2 linked regions of the Drosophila melanogaster genome follow. The protein of the gene in region 1 purifies or fractionates together with the protein of each later gene. This does not show direct contact. Each region holds a gene or a part of one and is shown in the gene's direction. Other genes may lie near its edges.

What was found.
Region 2: the proteins of imd (region 1) and Diap2 purify together in Drosophila melanogaster (affinity purification with western blotting; 2 studies listed by BioGRID). This does not show direct contact.

The regions. Positions count from the first base shown.
Region 1 is NT_033778.4:18,408,230-18,417,255, reverse strand, and holds imd (immune deficiency), read left to right. Parts: upstream 1-3,656; 5' UTR 3,657-3,800; intron 3,801-3,826; exon of another isoform or gene 3,827-3,930; intron 3,931-4,178; exon of another isoform or gene 4,179-4,408; intron 4,409-4,899; exon of another isoform or gene 4,900-5,229; intron 5,230-5,669; 5' UTR 5,670-5,845; coding exon 5,846-6,505; intron 6,506-6,922; coding exon 6,923-7,084; 3' UTR 7,085-7,460; downstream 7,461-9,026. Other genes in the region: Dp1 (Dodeca-satellite-binding protein 1), read right to left, coding at 1-1,593, 1,661-1,911, 1,970-2,006; GstE9 (glutathione S transferase E9), read right to left, coding at 7,500-8,165; GstE8 (glutathione S transferase E8), read right to left, coding at 8,728-9,026.
Region 2 is NT_033778.4:15,930,264-15,936,545, reverse strand, and holds Diap2 (Death-associated inhibitor of apoptosis 2), read left to right. Parts: upstream 1-1,720; 5' UTR 1,721-1,748; intron 1,749-1,828; exon of another isoform or gene 1,829-1,965; 5' UTR 1,966-1,975; coding exon 1,976-2,347; intron 2,348-2,726; coding exon 2,727-3,762; intron 3,763-3,825; coding exon 3,826-3,914; 3' UTR 3,915-4,376; downstream 4,377-6,282. Other genes in the region: Mlf (Myelodysplasia/myeloid leukemia factor), read left to right, coding at 1-86; bug (bunker gear), read right to left, coding at 706-1,565, 1,623-1,650.

The DNA.
Region 1 (9,026 bases):
CTGGGTCTCATCGCGGATCTTTTTGATGTTAGCGCCGCCCTTGCCAATAACGAACTTGTGGAACTGCTTAAAGATGGGCACCTCGATAATGTGCGACGATTCCTGAATCTCCTTGACCAGCTTAAGCAGATCCTTGTGACACTTGTCCACATCCTCCTTGGGTCCGCGCAGCTTCACAATATCGGTATTCTCCTGGGGCGTAGGTATCGTGATTGTAACCTGGCGGTAGCGGTCCTTCACCTCGCGAATCTTCTCGCCCTTAGCTCCGATAATAGAACGATGGAGACGGCGGTCGATGATCACATCCTTCGATTTTTCGTTTTCCAGTTTGTCGATTTTTTCTTGTAATTCAAGCTGCGCCTGCCGTACTCCCTCCTTGGGACCCTCGATACGGATGTTGTTCTGGCCCTCGCGCTCTTCGATGTTAATGTTAACCTTCAGTTCATCCTTCAGGCGATTTACGTTGGCTCCAGCCTTACCGATGATGTGCTTGTAGTACGAAGGATTAACCGTCATCACCTCGAATGTGAAGTTCTCCTCGTAGTTTTTGATGATTTCGGACAAGTAGGCTACAGCCCTGTCAACGTTCTCGGGATCTCCCTCCAGCTTGATCTTGTCTTCCAGGCAATTCACGTTCACGTTGGGGCAGTCCTCCTCCAGCTGCTTCATGTTGGCCCCCTTGCGACCGATCACATACTTGTGGATCCAATGTGCCGCATTGATCTCCACAGACTTGACCGAGTTGGACTTTTGGTAGACAACGGTTAGGGCATTTCCCAAAGCCACTTGCGGCCCACGCAAAGTGATCGTCTCCGAGGGGGAGTCATTGGGAGGCATCTCTACAGACACACCGGTCAACTGCAGAATCTCGGCGATGGTGGAGCCCTTCGGACCAATGACATATCGGTGCTTGGGCTTAGCTACCTCCACACTGACGGTAGAGCACTTCTTTTCCATATCCTTGTAAATGGCCTCCACCTTGGCCTTTGCCGCTGCGACCGCGTCCTTCTCGCCCGAGATGACGATCTCGTCCTTCTGAACCTGCTGCGGCGGCACGTTGATCCTAGCGCCGGTCTCCTCCTGCAGCTTATTTAGGTTCTCGCTGTAGGGGCCCACGATGAAGGGATGGTAAACTTTGGGCACCGTGATGCGGTCCGATGACTTCTTGTACTGCTCGGCTGACAGCTGACGGATCTCCTGCTCGGCCTGGGCAATACCCTCCTTGGTTCCGGCAATCGTGATAAACTCGCTCTCATCGCTCTGGCTGGGGATGTTGATGCGCGTCGCAGTAACACGCTCGATTTCGCGCAGCCGTTGGCCACCCTTGCCGAGGATGACGCGGAAGTGCTCCCGAGGAACGGTCACCTGCCGACTGGCCTGAGTGGAGAAGCCCATAAGAATCTTACGGCGGGCATCGAGCAGCTCGCTCTGCTTGCCCTTAATCAGGAAGGTCAGCGACTGGTTCTTGCCGCTCACAATCTCGATCTGGGCTCCGGTCTCCTTGGTGATCTGCTGGCAAATACGCTTCGACTCGCCTTCGCCAAACTTCTCCGACTCCGTGGACTTGCGCTCCTTGCAGGGAACATGCACAATCTGTTACAAAAAAAATTGAAATCCATAGAATCAGAACCAAATCAATGTATGTCTTTTTCGAGCTTACATGAGTTTTTTGGGAACTCGTCACACGAGCTAGAGTCGAACCGGAAGCTCCGGATTGCGATTGAGCCGAAGTGTTGGCCGGCAGGGCCGGAAACAGGTCGTCGTAGCTAAAGGCGGGTGTGGCATTGCCAGTTCCGCCGCTAGTGGTACTAGTGGGCGTGGCCACTGAAGTTGGCGAGGATGGTTGCTGCTCGTTGGCCACCTGCTCTTGGCCATTAATGAGAGCGATGGGCTGCTGCTCGATGGTAGTTGCTGCATGATGATTTTGGTTAACAATTGCTTGATAATATTTAGCCTTCGAAGAACTCACCGTTGTTAGTTTCCTCCATCACTGCTGCTGCTTGCATTACTTAAAAAAAGAGAAAAGTCCTTTTTCGTTCCAAGTCGTTTACAGTACACTGAAATTGAAAAGTAGAAGATATCTTATCAAGTGCATTAAAACGTTTACATCATACTGGACCCTATAAATGAACCTTGTTTATCAGCCAGCGATAAAGCAAACAACCAGGAAGGAAAAATTTCTAGGGGATTATCGAAGTGCTGGTCGATCAATCAAAGAACAAATAGTTAAATGGCATTCTTATTTTGGCAAACATGGATTAAAATAGGCCCGTTTAGCTACAGTTTTCATCTGTTTCTGTTGTCAGTCGCCCGCAGACTTACCAAAATCGCAGATAGTTGATAAGTGCGACCTCCGAGGACCCGCATTTGGCTGCGACCAACTGATAAGGAACTACATAAGTACATACACACTTTAGGACCGCTTGGCTACAGTAAACAAATTAGTACAAAGATAATTCATTGGATATGCGGCGTGACTTATGTACAGGAAATCTAACAAGTTGCGTTACTATTGCTTTCTTATAAAAACGTCAAAAGTTTGCAATTTTTTGTTTGCTGTTTTCCATTTCTTCTTAATTTGTGAATGGAAGAAATTTCCAATAACATCCAATACTACATTTAATAAAATATCTATTAAATTAGATCATAAATTATTCATTGAATTCACCTCTGTAGCTTATATTCGTAAAGTTTCCTTCGACTGAATGCAGAATCATTCCGGGAAACCATGTTGCATGCCCCACTGTAAACAGTGCGTGTCCAAAGGGGGTGCATGAAATGGATTTTCTGGCGTTGATAAACCGAAATAGTCTCTTTTCAAACGAGCTTTCTGCACCACAGCCTGAAACTAAGGCCACGTAGTGCTTGGATCTGCGAGATGAGTGCTCGACACAACTCTCCGCTTTTCGGTGGTGATAAGTGGACGCGGCCGATGGGCCACGCAGGCAGATTCCGGGGCTGAGTGATAACTATCGGCCGTTCTGGCTGATAAGCTCAGTCGTCCGATTGCCACCAAGATATTGTGGTACGTACACACACAAACACACAATGCTACAAGTGCGCTTTCCGAAATTTAGGCTGCTATCAGTCGGATTTCGATTGGGTGAAAGGTTGGGGCCTCGCGAATGAGAAAGAGAGATCTCAGCCGAGGAGCAGCAGAGACCATGCACTTGTTCGACCAAAGCTGTTTTCTAAATCCATGCCCAACGAGTTTTCGTAGCCTACATTTTCCTCTCTACCGAAAGAACAACAAAGATATGTCTGTCTCCTCTCTGTTAGTTGTGTCTTTGTATGTGCGGACAGCGGCGGTGGCAGGGTATGTGTAAAGGGGGCCTCTTACTTTTAAATCATACGGTTTTGTAAATTTCAATGAAAGCTTAATACATTTATATATTACAGATAACAATGACAACTGCAAGTGACACCAGATCATTATCCCTAACATTTAATAATAGTTTTTCATTTCAGAATTAATTTCCCAAAAAAATAATCACCTAACGACGAATCTGTTTGTGCTCATGAAAAATGTGTCAAATACAGAGACAAGAGCACGAGAGCGACAGGAACAGGGAGAGGAGAGAGCGAGAGCTTGACGAAGTAACTTAACGGAGCAGGGGAGCAGCTCCATATAAAACCGGATGATAGCCGGCAACTACAACAAAACGATCGAGCAGTGCCAGTGGTGTATTGTATGCATGTGAGTGTGCTGTGCCTGTGTGCCTGCACATTTCTGTGTCGCTCTTTTTCTTCTTCGGGAATACGGTTGTGTGTGTGTGTTGCCACCTTTCGAGAAGGCACAGGTAAAAAACGAAAACAAGCAACATACCTACATAGCAAATACCATCGTTCATACGTTCGTATGTGACGCCTGCAGCGACGCTGACGTCGACAAATGAAGACAAAGCACAATAACAATGCGCTAAAGTTCAGCTTTAAACAAAAAACCAAAAAAAAAAAAAACATATATACAAAATTGGTATGCACATATCGGATGGATTCTTGTTTCTGTAATTTCGATACAAAGATCCCAAAGACCAAAAAAAGAAAAGCTTGACGTAGTCAGTTTTAGGCATGAAACCGTTAACTTGGACGACATTTGTTGTCTTTTTTTTGGCAAAACACTTGTGTAAAATGTTAAACTATGCAAATTAACTCTAGGCAAAGGTTGTTCAACTTACGGTACTGTAAAATCCAAAAAATCCGGCCGAGTTTACTCTCCTTTGACCAAATCCAGTTTGATAACTTGGGTGTCTGCTGGAAAAGCCGAAAAACAATTGCTTAAAATTAATGCAATTAGCGGATGCAGAAGATCGGATCGTGGCATCACCAGGATGAATGCCCTACAAATCATTTAGTCAGTCATTCTGCGTTATGCACATCCCCAATAGAAAGTCTAATGTTATTTGTCGCAGAGAGCGCGTTGTTGCAGAGAGCACGGTGAAGGAAGGGGAGGGGGGCAGCATATGCGGGCCACTTATTGGACAATTGTTTTTGTGGCAGCAGCGGAGGCAAAATTGGAGCAGCGCGTGGGCGTGTTTGTGTGCGTCTGTGTGTGTGTGTGAGAGTATGGAAATGCGGAAATCAGTGCCGTATGCTTTCCAGGTGAAAGGTTGTGTGGATCCTCTTTTCCGGCACGGGGCGGGGCCTTAACTCTGCCTCCCCCTCTCGAAAAATAGGAAAATTAAAGTAAAAAAAAATAAAAGGCAGCACGCGCGCCTTCCAATCGGACAAATATGCTTATATATGCACGCTCACACGTATGCACGGGATTTTACGTCCCTATGTGAGCGTGTGGGTCGTCGACGTCGCCGACTTTTGTGACTGTGTGGGTGAGCGCGAGTGCGCCGTCCGTGTGTATTATCAACCATTGAAAAACACGTTGTTTTTCGCCGACCGCACACAAATTTGAAGAAAAATTAGCGGCCCGAATTTTCTTTCATCGTTTTTTTTAATTCGCCACTGCCGTCTCTTCTTCTTCTGCTTGCTCTGCCGTCGCCGCCCCACCGCTGCCGGCCCTTTATAACTGTAAATCCGTGCACTCTCTTTCGCTCGCCGCAACTTATGCAATTCCGGCTGCAATTATACCGCCGCACGGATCACCGAGCAATGTGAGTTGATTTTCGCACTGGAATCTTGGTAAATTCACACCCAGACTTTCTATTGGAAGGCAGAACGCACGGACGCGGAACTCAACGTTACCGACTCCAAGTAAAATGTGAATGAACATGAGCGAACGTGGCAAATAGAGATGGGCGATACGCCGCAGCGGGTGCAGGGTTGTCGCTCTTACCAATCGCAAGCGCGAACTGTCAAATCGAACTATCGACTATTGGGTCTATTACCATGGCCTTCTTTTGGGGATTTTCAAAAATTAATTAAAGAATTATTCAATAGTAACAATAAAAAAAATATATTAAAAAAAAACTTAGACAACAAACACCAGTTTTTAAAGATGATAATCGTTATTATGGGGGTTTCCTTATATGCAAATTAATAAAGATTAGATATAAATGCTTAAATTTTTTCCTTATATGCACATAATGATTAAGAATTAAAATTCAAATGTTAAGTTTTGTATGTTAGTCAAATATAATTGATTTTTTCAATCAGACGGAAAAGACAAGAAATGCTATTTAGTTGAATTTCTTAATAAAACTAAAAATTTTTAGTTGTAAGTGAAATATCGGTTGATAATCGGCTCGGAATATCGATAGTCAGGTCCATCCTTGGCCTACCACCACCAAATTGAAAAAGAGCAAAGAAACACAAAGGCAAAAAACTCCCCAATCTGTGGAATTTCCGGAAGCGAGAGCACATTCAAAGCTACCAGTTATCAGCGAGCAGCATGTCAAAGCTCAGGAACCTGTTGCCCACAATCTTTGGCGGGAAGGAGGCACAGAATCCGACACCCGTCGAGGGACGCCTGGAAAAGGACGCAGCTCCCGTGGACGACAACGAACCAGATAACAACAACAGCGGAGCCCTGGCGCTGCCCTCCACCGCTGGCACGCCCACAGCCTCCTCGGATCTGACCGAATCCGTGCTGCGCGAGCTCAGCGACCCAAACTACAATTCAATGGATGTGGTGCATTCCGCCAATATTCCGGGCACTCTCAGTAACGTCCAGACAAACAACACCATGAACGTACACAGCGCCCAGCAACAGGTGGTCATGAACTTCTCGAATGCCAATAATCTGCACTTCGGCTCCGTCTACAACTTCAACCAAAACTTGAGCGCCTGCAGCTCGCGAAAGGGTAGCACCAGTACCGCAGAGGAGTCGGTCGCCTCTCCAGACGGTAAGCCGCGGGCAAGTGCGACGCGCAAAACGGTCAGCATTGTGGCCATGATGCAGTCACAAGAGGAACCGGATGTGCGCCTGCTCGATGTGGTTTCCACGCACTTGGGCGAGGGCTGGAAGCAGGTGATGCGGGATCTTGGCATGTCGGAAGGACAGATCGACCAGGCCATAATCGATCACCAAATGCATGGCAATATTAGAGAGGTAAGGCCCCTGAAGTTTAAACTTCTCTTATTTGTTGTTGAATGTTGATTCAAGAACAGAACATACAAACTCAAATTAGTATGTAAAACAACAGACTATGCTAAGATGATTGTGACGCATCAGACTAATTTAATGACTCAAATACCACTATTTCTGTTAGATTTCATTGCTTGACACGAATGGATTGTTCAACTTAAAAAAAAAAATAATATAAATTAGCTTACATTATTGTGAGCTATTTATTTTATATAATACTGATAGTGATTCCACTTGTTTGTCTGATTAGATTGCAAGTTATGGTGTATAAATGTCACAACTCTGTTGTTAGAGTACCAGAAGATTTTAATGATTTTTAAGAGTTAGAAAATCAATCATAAAATCAGAAAATAACACTTTGCTTTGTGTCTACGTCTATAGGTGATATACCAGCTGTTGCTCCAGTGGATTCGAAGCTCGGCGGACGGTGTGGCCACCGTTGGACGACTTACTACACTGCTGTGGGAGTCCCAGCATCGCGACTGCGTGCAGCGCATGAAACTGGTTTGGAAGGCACTGGAGAAGCGCAAGACAAACAGCTAGTCAGTGAGTGAAACTTGCTAGCAAAGATTCCAGAACGAAAACGATGCATTCAAAGTGGCCCCTTGATGTCCAAGCCAGCCGGATGGTGAAAACTGGAAATGTTTAACCCACCAACTTTTGCTAAATTCAGAGCGGCCTTTGACAGAAGACATCGAGTGGTAGAGAGAAGAGACGAACACGGGATATATGTGCAATATTTGATTTATAAATCCAACCTATCGAATAAGTGCGTAGAATTGCATTAACTGTTATTACTGCAGTTTAATCTTTAAGTTGTGATACTTGTGTCGAAAAAAAAAACCAGCTAATTGAGCTGGTATTTAAAAGCATTTTTGTAAAGTTTATACAAATAGAAGCTTTATTGTTACGTAATCAGAACACGTTGCGTTTGTAACCTTTAAGCTAGTGCAAACAATTACACAATCTTTGTGATCTTCGAACTGAACATGTCGATCAACATCTGTGCCCCATTGCCATTGAGCGACTGGTAATTGGGCTGTGCGGCCATTCTGTCTAGCCAGCCGTTTAACTTGGGATAGCGCTTGGCATCGATAGCGGCCAATCCCACTAGGCTGGAGACCGAGGAAACTACACTGTAGTCGGCGATGGTTATGACCGGTCCGCAGAGGTAAGCCTGATTACCGATGAACGCTTCCAGAAAGTCATAGGCCTCGTAGATGGCATCAATCTGGGAACGCGGCACCTCAGTTATGTTCTTGTAGAACAACGGAATGGCTATGTTCCGGATGCAGCCCTGGAATAACACACCCGACTCAAAGTGCAGGCGCTGATCAACGAGTGCGCGTTTGAAGTAATCCTTGGGATACAGGTCATCACTCTTGGCATAGCGTCTAACCAGATAAGCGCAAATGGCGTGACTCTCCCAGATGAACTTGCCATCGTCCTCCAGCACGGGTACCGTGTGCTGCGGATTCTTCAGGCTGAACTCCTTCGTCTTGTGCTCACCGGCCAGCAGGTTCACCAGCCTATACTCATACTGAAGGCCCAGGGCGTCGAGGGTCAGTTTGCATGCTCGCACCGGCGGACTAGCCTCTACGCCGTACAGTACTAATTTTCCCATCGCTTCAGGTGTCCGCTCGCCTTGGCTGTTGACTTGAAACTAAACCAGCTCCGACTATCGCAATTATCGATCGGATGAACTTACAGCTCATTTTATTTCAATTTATATACGCTACTTGCGTATTCCATGCTGACTCACTCTTGTCGTTCGAGATAATTAGCGTTCCTTCTGATTGGCATAATATTTATTTGAATATGCCATTTTTAGAGGGATTCTGTGTTCTTGAAGACAAAACACCTATCTATTATCAGCATTTTCAGCAAAGCTATCTTTGCTTGTAGGATCGATTAGGTAATCTCCATGGACGAGTTCGACTGAGCCACTCCATGAGGTGTTAAGTGTTTTGGTTTGTCTTATCATATTTGTTTGAAATGTGATGGAAAATTCTTCCACTTGACCTGTTTAATTTGTCTTCTTACAACCGAATCAGGTGGCGATTTTTAAAACTGTCTATTATCATAAAATAAAAATCATAAGATAACAATATTTGAAGAATAGTCTTAATAATGTTTTATACAATTATTAAACATTATTATTACAATTATATACTAAGAATAAATTATTAAGTTGAGAAGGTAAAATTGAATTTCTTGAGGAGGGTCACCAAATCCCGGGCACCTTTGCCACATGCCTCCTCGTAATAGGGTAGTTCCTCAATCCTCTTGATCCACGCAGTTATATTGGCGTATTTTACTGTATCGATGACCACGAATACCGCCAGTGCGGTAATCGATGTGATTAGGCTAAAATCCGCGATGGTCAACTGATCACCGGCAATGAAATCGTGTCCGGTGAGAAAAGTCTCTACAAAGTCGTAAATCTCTATGACGGCATCGTAACGCTCCTTGGGAATCGTCGTCT
Region 2 (6,282 bases), 2.5 Mb from region 1:
GCCAACAACGTGCCGTAAAACATTTTCACACGGAGGACGAAGCGGCCAGCTCCTACAAGGCGGTCAAGCGCGGCAAGAAGAAGTAGTAGAAACGTGATCATCTGTATGCCAACATCTTCCGCATCGCACACTCAAAAACACTAGGAAGCAAAGCGTTGGGTTCTGTTCCATAGCAGGAAAACCAATTCAAATATTTTTTAACAAACACAATTCTTTACCAGTTCTGTCTTATCCTGCGTGAGTCGACCAGAATGCAACACTAAAAAATGTACAACTTCAAGATGCTATTGATGTGCACGCAGGATACAGAACAACTTGCTTAAATTTACTTAAAACAAATGTGACTATTCAACGCCGAAATCATTACAACACACACTCTCAGACCTAATCGAAAAATTCAATGAAAGTAATGGAATATATATGAAATCGTAATTATAAGTTTGAATTATTTGATTAATTCTCAAGTTTTTAGATTTTGTTAGCCACTAAGCTTTAAATTATGGATGCCAGTTAGCGTGCAAATGAACACAATTGATTTGAAGGCTCCGAACGATAGAAAACAACAATTACCAATTCCCCAAATACATGTAATTCGTAAGGCCTAAGTAAATGTTAACGTGAATTTAATTAAATGGTAATTACATTATAATAGTAAATCCAGTGTTCTACTTATGCGACTTATAGAGAATTAAACGTATTAACTAACTAGTCCACCATCTCCATTTGCGTCTCCTCGGATTCCCGCCAAATGCGCTGCACCATCTCTACCAGCTGCTTCCAGAGCGCCGTCTTACGCAGGAAGTTGGCAAGGCAGACGAGAATAAAGGCCCAAGCCAGGCCCAAATAGTAATCCGTCTGCACAATGGGTTTATTAGACAGCGGCTCCATCTCTGCGCGAGTGAGGATGATCGGATCAATGGCCTGCGGATTCACAGTCTTCATATTGGTGTGACTCATTATGAAACTGGCAAAGCTGCTCTTTGTGTCCTTCCACCCGGGCTCGAATTTGATTAGCGGCCTGCCCTGGTGGAATAGCATCAGTGTGGGCAGCGAAACGATGCCGAATTCTGCATTGAAACGACCAAACTCATAGGCATCCACATAGGCGATGGGTAGCGTGGGAAAGTAATGGGGCAGCACGTTGACCATCGAAGCCACACGAGCGCACTCCAAGCTGGATGCGGTGCAGAAATGGACAAGTACACAGTTGCCCGGCTCGTGGCGCTTGGTGGCATTGCCCATGGGCTTAAGCAGATTCACTATATCCTTGGCACTGCGCATTATCAGCAGTTCCGGCTCGGATGCTGTCTCATTCTCGATATCCCGCTGCAGGCACTTCATCATAATAGGTGGCTTTCGAACCGGAGGCAGCTGGTTTAGGTGCATGATGTGCTCGTCATCCGGGGCACATGTGTGTCGCTCCTTCAGCAAGGTTTCGAAGCTATAATGGCACTGGCCCCGCGAAACTCCCAGGGAATACACCGTCAAATTTGAGAAGAGCCCGAAATACTGGAGGGCACTTAGTAATCCGGAGAGTTCCGCCTGGCCCTGCGCGGCGCAGAGCACTGTGGAAGTGGTATAATGTTACTGATTGAAGAACTCGATATAAATAAATAACGTACAAAATACAAACAAGAGATTTTGGTTCATTATATCGTTGGTTGGACAGCTGTTGAAATAGTTGGCTGTTATATGGCACTCGTGAAATACCTGGAAACTTCTTAGGTTTGGATATACCGAATAGCAAGGTAAACTGCTTGACCTTGTTTTTGTAAGCAGTGCCCATTAAGTTGGTATTTCATCGATGAAACATTGACGATGTATCGAAAAACATCGATGCTTATTTTTACATCGCTACAATAAGTTTATATTTTTACCTTACCTTATTTTCATTTTCGTCTGCGCTCGCTGGTGATTCCCTTGGTGGCATTACATCATTGGTGGATCCATTCGGATCCAATTTAGAAGCGCCACGATGACGGAGCTGGGCATGGAGCTGGAGAGCGTTCGCCTGGCGACATTTGGGGAATGGCCCCTGAATGCCCCAGTTTCCGCGGAGGATCTGGTCGCCAATGGTTTCTTTGCCACGGGAAACTGGCTGGAGGCCGAGTGCCATTTCTGCCACGTGCGCATCGACCGCTGGGAATACGGCGATCAAGTGGCGGAGCGCCATCGCCGCTCCTCGCCCATCTGCTCCATGGTTCTGGCTCCCAATCACTGCGGCAATGTTCCCAGGAGCCAGGAGAGCGACAACGAGGGAAACAGCGTAGTGGACAGCCCGGAGTCCTGCTCTTGTCCCGATCTCTTGTTGGAGGCCAATCGCTTGGTAACTTTCAAGGACTGGCCGGTGAGTACCCTGAGCTGGTGTCGCTCGCTTCTGGTGATTCACCATAGCGGGTCATTGTAATCACTATAGTTTCAGTTTCAAGCTCACTATAAGTGCATATGTAAGTATGATTGCGTAGTTAAAAAGTAGCGTAAATGAGGCCAGGAAAATCCCGGTCGAAAGTATCAATGATATTTTTGTATACAAACAAGAAATGTCTTGTTAGCTGCCTCAATTCAGCTGAATGTTGATTGATAATCCTACGAAATTAAGCTTTAATTAAGATATACAAAAATCATTATGAACTTCAAATGAAGTTATTGTATACTGTATAATTTCAAATATTTTTAATGACTGAATAAGATAGTTTAACTTTAGCCCAAAACGTCTTCCTTTGTAGAATCCCAACATCACGCCGCAGGCTCTGGCAAAGGCAGGTTTCTACTACCTGAACCGTCTGGATCACGTGAAGTGTGTTTGGTGCAACGGAGTGATTGCCAAGTGGGAGAAGAACGACAATGCCTTTGAAGAGCACAAGCGCTTTTTTCCCCAATGTCCTCGTGTGCAAATGGGCCCCCTTATAGAGTTTGCCACCGGGAAGAACCTGGATGAGCTGGGCATCCAGCCCACCACTCTGCCACTGCGTCCCAAGTACGCCTGCGTGGACGCCAGATTGAGAACCTTCACCGATTGGCCCATTTCCAATATTCAGCCCGCTTCGGCTTTGGCGCAGGCTGGCCTATATTATCAGAAAATAGGCGACCAGGTGCGCTGTTTCCACTGCAACATTGGATTGCGCTCCTGGCAGAAGGAGGACGAGCCGTGGTTCGAACACGCCAAGTGGTCGCCAAAGTGTCAGTTCGTTTTGCTGGCCAAGGGTCCAGCCTATGTAAGCGAAGTGCTCGCGACAACAGCTGCCAACGCCAGTTCCCAGCCAGCAACTGCTCCGGCTCCAACGCTCCAAGCAGACGTACTGATGGATGAAGCTCCGGCCAAGGAGGCCCTAGCCTTGGGTATCGATGGAGGAGTTGTGCGCAATGCCATCCAGCGCAAGCTCTTGAGTTCCGGCTGCGCTTTCTCTACGTTGGACGAACTATTGCATGACATCTTTGACGATGCGGGCGCAGGAGCTGCACTGGAGGTGCGCGAGCCGCCGGAGCCAAGTGCTCCTTTTATTGAACCATGTCAGGCCACCACCAGCAAGGCAGCATCTGTGCCAATACCGGTGGCCGATTCCATCCCAGCCAAACCACAGGCAGCTGAAGCAGTGGCGAATATATCGAAAATCACAGACGAAATACAAAAGATGTCGGTGGCCACGCCGAACGGAAACCTATCGCTGGAGGAGGAAAACCGCCAGCTAAAGGATGCACGCTTATGCAAGGTATGCTTGGACGAGGAGGTTGGCGTAGTGTTCCTGCCCTGTGGCCACTTGGGTAAGTCGCTGAACTATACCTTGATTGCCTTGAGCTGTAGCTAACTTCCTGTTAACCCGACAGCCACCTGCAATCAGTGCGCCCCCAGTGTAGCCAATTGTCCCATGTGCCGCGCAGACATCAAGGGATTCGTGCGCACGTTCCTTTCGTGAAGTGCATATCGACATCATTTAGAGTTCACCAGCCTAGTTAGCAGTTAAGCAAATCGATTGATTGCACCCACACAAACTACTACAGCGAAGTTCAAATTATCCGGTGATTAGCTAATATAATCGTCTACTAATCGTCTACTAAGTACTTGGCCAACTGCAGCTATTCGTTTTTACATTAGCTACGGTTGTAAGTTGTCGTTACTAACTATCGCATTGTGTCCGAGCGCATCCCTTTTGAACCATACATTATGCACGCTGAAATGACCTTATATAGATGAGCAGCTCTAATTCGCGCTGAAAAGGGTATCAATGCACCGGCACGACCGCAGATCACATGGATTTCTTGTTATAGTACTCTTATTAACACATGTATGTATTTTTGTTGATCATGTTTATAGGCCGCTGATAGTATGGTTTACACACAACTATATGCATTCTCCAATAAATGTATATGTAAATGTTAAAAAATTTGTCTTTTCAATTGCAAAAATTCTTTAAAATAATTTATTTATTTTGCTAAGTTTTAAATCCCAACGGTCTTCAAGTGATGTGCCCCGAGAGATTAGCCTATTAGCTTGCAACAGTCTGATTCCACTGCTCACAACTATCTCGATATCATCGCCATGCACGGTTCGATACTATCGATAGTAGCATCGATGTTTTGACGGCTCTACTCAAAAGTACCAAAATATTGGTATCCAAGCAATCGTTTTCAGCTCTCCGCGTGAAGTCGTGTGCGCTGCTCGTAAGGGAGCTCCATTGAGTTCTGGTCGCGAAAAACTAACAAGCTCCAACGCCAAGAAGTGCAGAAGATAGTGAACAAAATTTAGAAGAACCGAACCGAAGCTACGGGGAATTTTATGTGTGAAATCGAAATTACCAAACGCGCGCTCGTGTGAGTATATTCTGCGAGTATTTCAAAGGAAGAGTTCAAGTGTGTGTGTGTGTGTCTGGTGTTGCTGCTGCATTTTACGGAGTGTGGGCGCTTTATGCTCTTTATAGTGTGGTGTGGCAAGCAGTGGCCATATCCCCCCGCTACACCAGAAAACCCTTACAGTCCGCTACCTTTCCATTTTGGAATCTTCTTCGAAAAACACTTTTTCGTACGGTGAGAAACAAAGCGACGCACGCACACACACGTTCAGCGAGCGTTGCTTATCTAGATTGTAAGAGGGAGGGAGGGGAGAGAGAGCGCGACACGTATCTGAAAATCTCAATCTCACAAGTACACACCGTAATTTCGGTTGTCGAGCGTGCTGCGCATACGCGCTTGGCTTGATACCATTTCTCACATTTTCCATTCGGGTCAGTCGCTGGAAACAGCTGTGGGCTGTCCCCCCACCCCTTACCATTCCCTTCTAAAGAGAATGACCAATCCACCCATTAAGGTATTCCCCAGCGAACCGCAAAAGCCCAATCAGCGTTTATTTTTTATTCGGAATGATTATTCATTTAAAACTCTGGATAACCTGTATGTATGCGTGATGGTGTGTGTTGGCAATGTTTTGCAAATACATACAATTTCAACAGCGCATAAAAAAAAGAAAAACAAAAGCAGGGCGGGCTTTTTACCGTTCTCTTTCTCTTTCTTCCGCCTGCCAGAGGAGAATGCAAAAATAAACAAATAACGAATTCCCGCTATCTGGACTGCGAATGTGTTCAGAATTTCTATATCCATATATGTATGTATCCGTACACAACGTTTGTTTAGCAATTGACCCAGTGCTTCCCTTAAATATTGAACTCAATTGGAGGCGCAGTTACACGCGGTGGGCACTTTATTGACTGCATTACTCATATGCAAGTCCCAAAAGGAGGGGGATCGAATGCGAATGCCGCACCCCGTACTTGCAGCACTTATCTGTCTACGAAGAAATTGCATAAAACGTGCCGATCTCAACGTTTGATGTTTTACAAGAGTAGCTGGCATGGTGGTAGATAGCTGAAGTACAGTGAACTGGCGCTATGCGAGTCTGTGCTTGACCCACAGAAGTTACTGTCAAAACATTGCTTATAGATTTTGATTAATCACTTGTAAAGTTCATTAAACCCATTTAGGCTCATTACAAGTGATTAAGGTTTTAAGTGCCCTTTTAGCTTAACTCATATGCCTAATACATTTTGTACATCATTAAGTCACAAAGCAGTTTAAATTATGTTTTGAGCTACTTTATTAAAGAGAGTAAACCCTGCGTTTTTGTGTAGTTTTTACTAATGCCAGTTACTGTTAGCCGGTTTTCACTGTGCCAGGGCTGCGGCACCTGCACGCATCGCAGATCGAACCGTTGGAAGCCTCGCATCTCGCGATCAGCATAAGTTGCAACCCTAGTCGCTCACTAACATACACACACAGGCAGACATGCTGCTC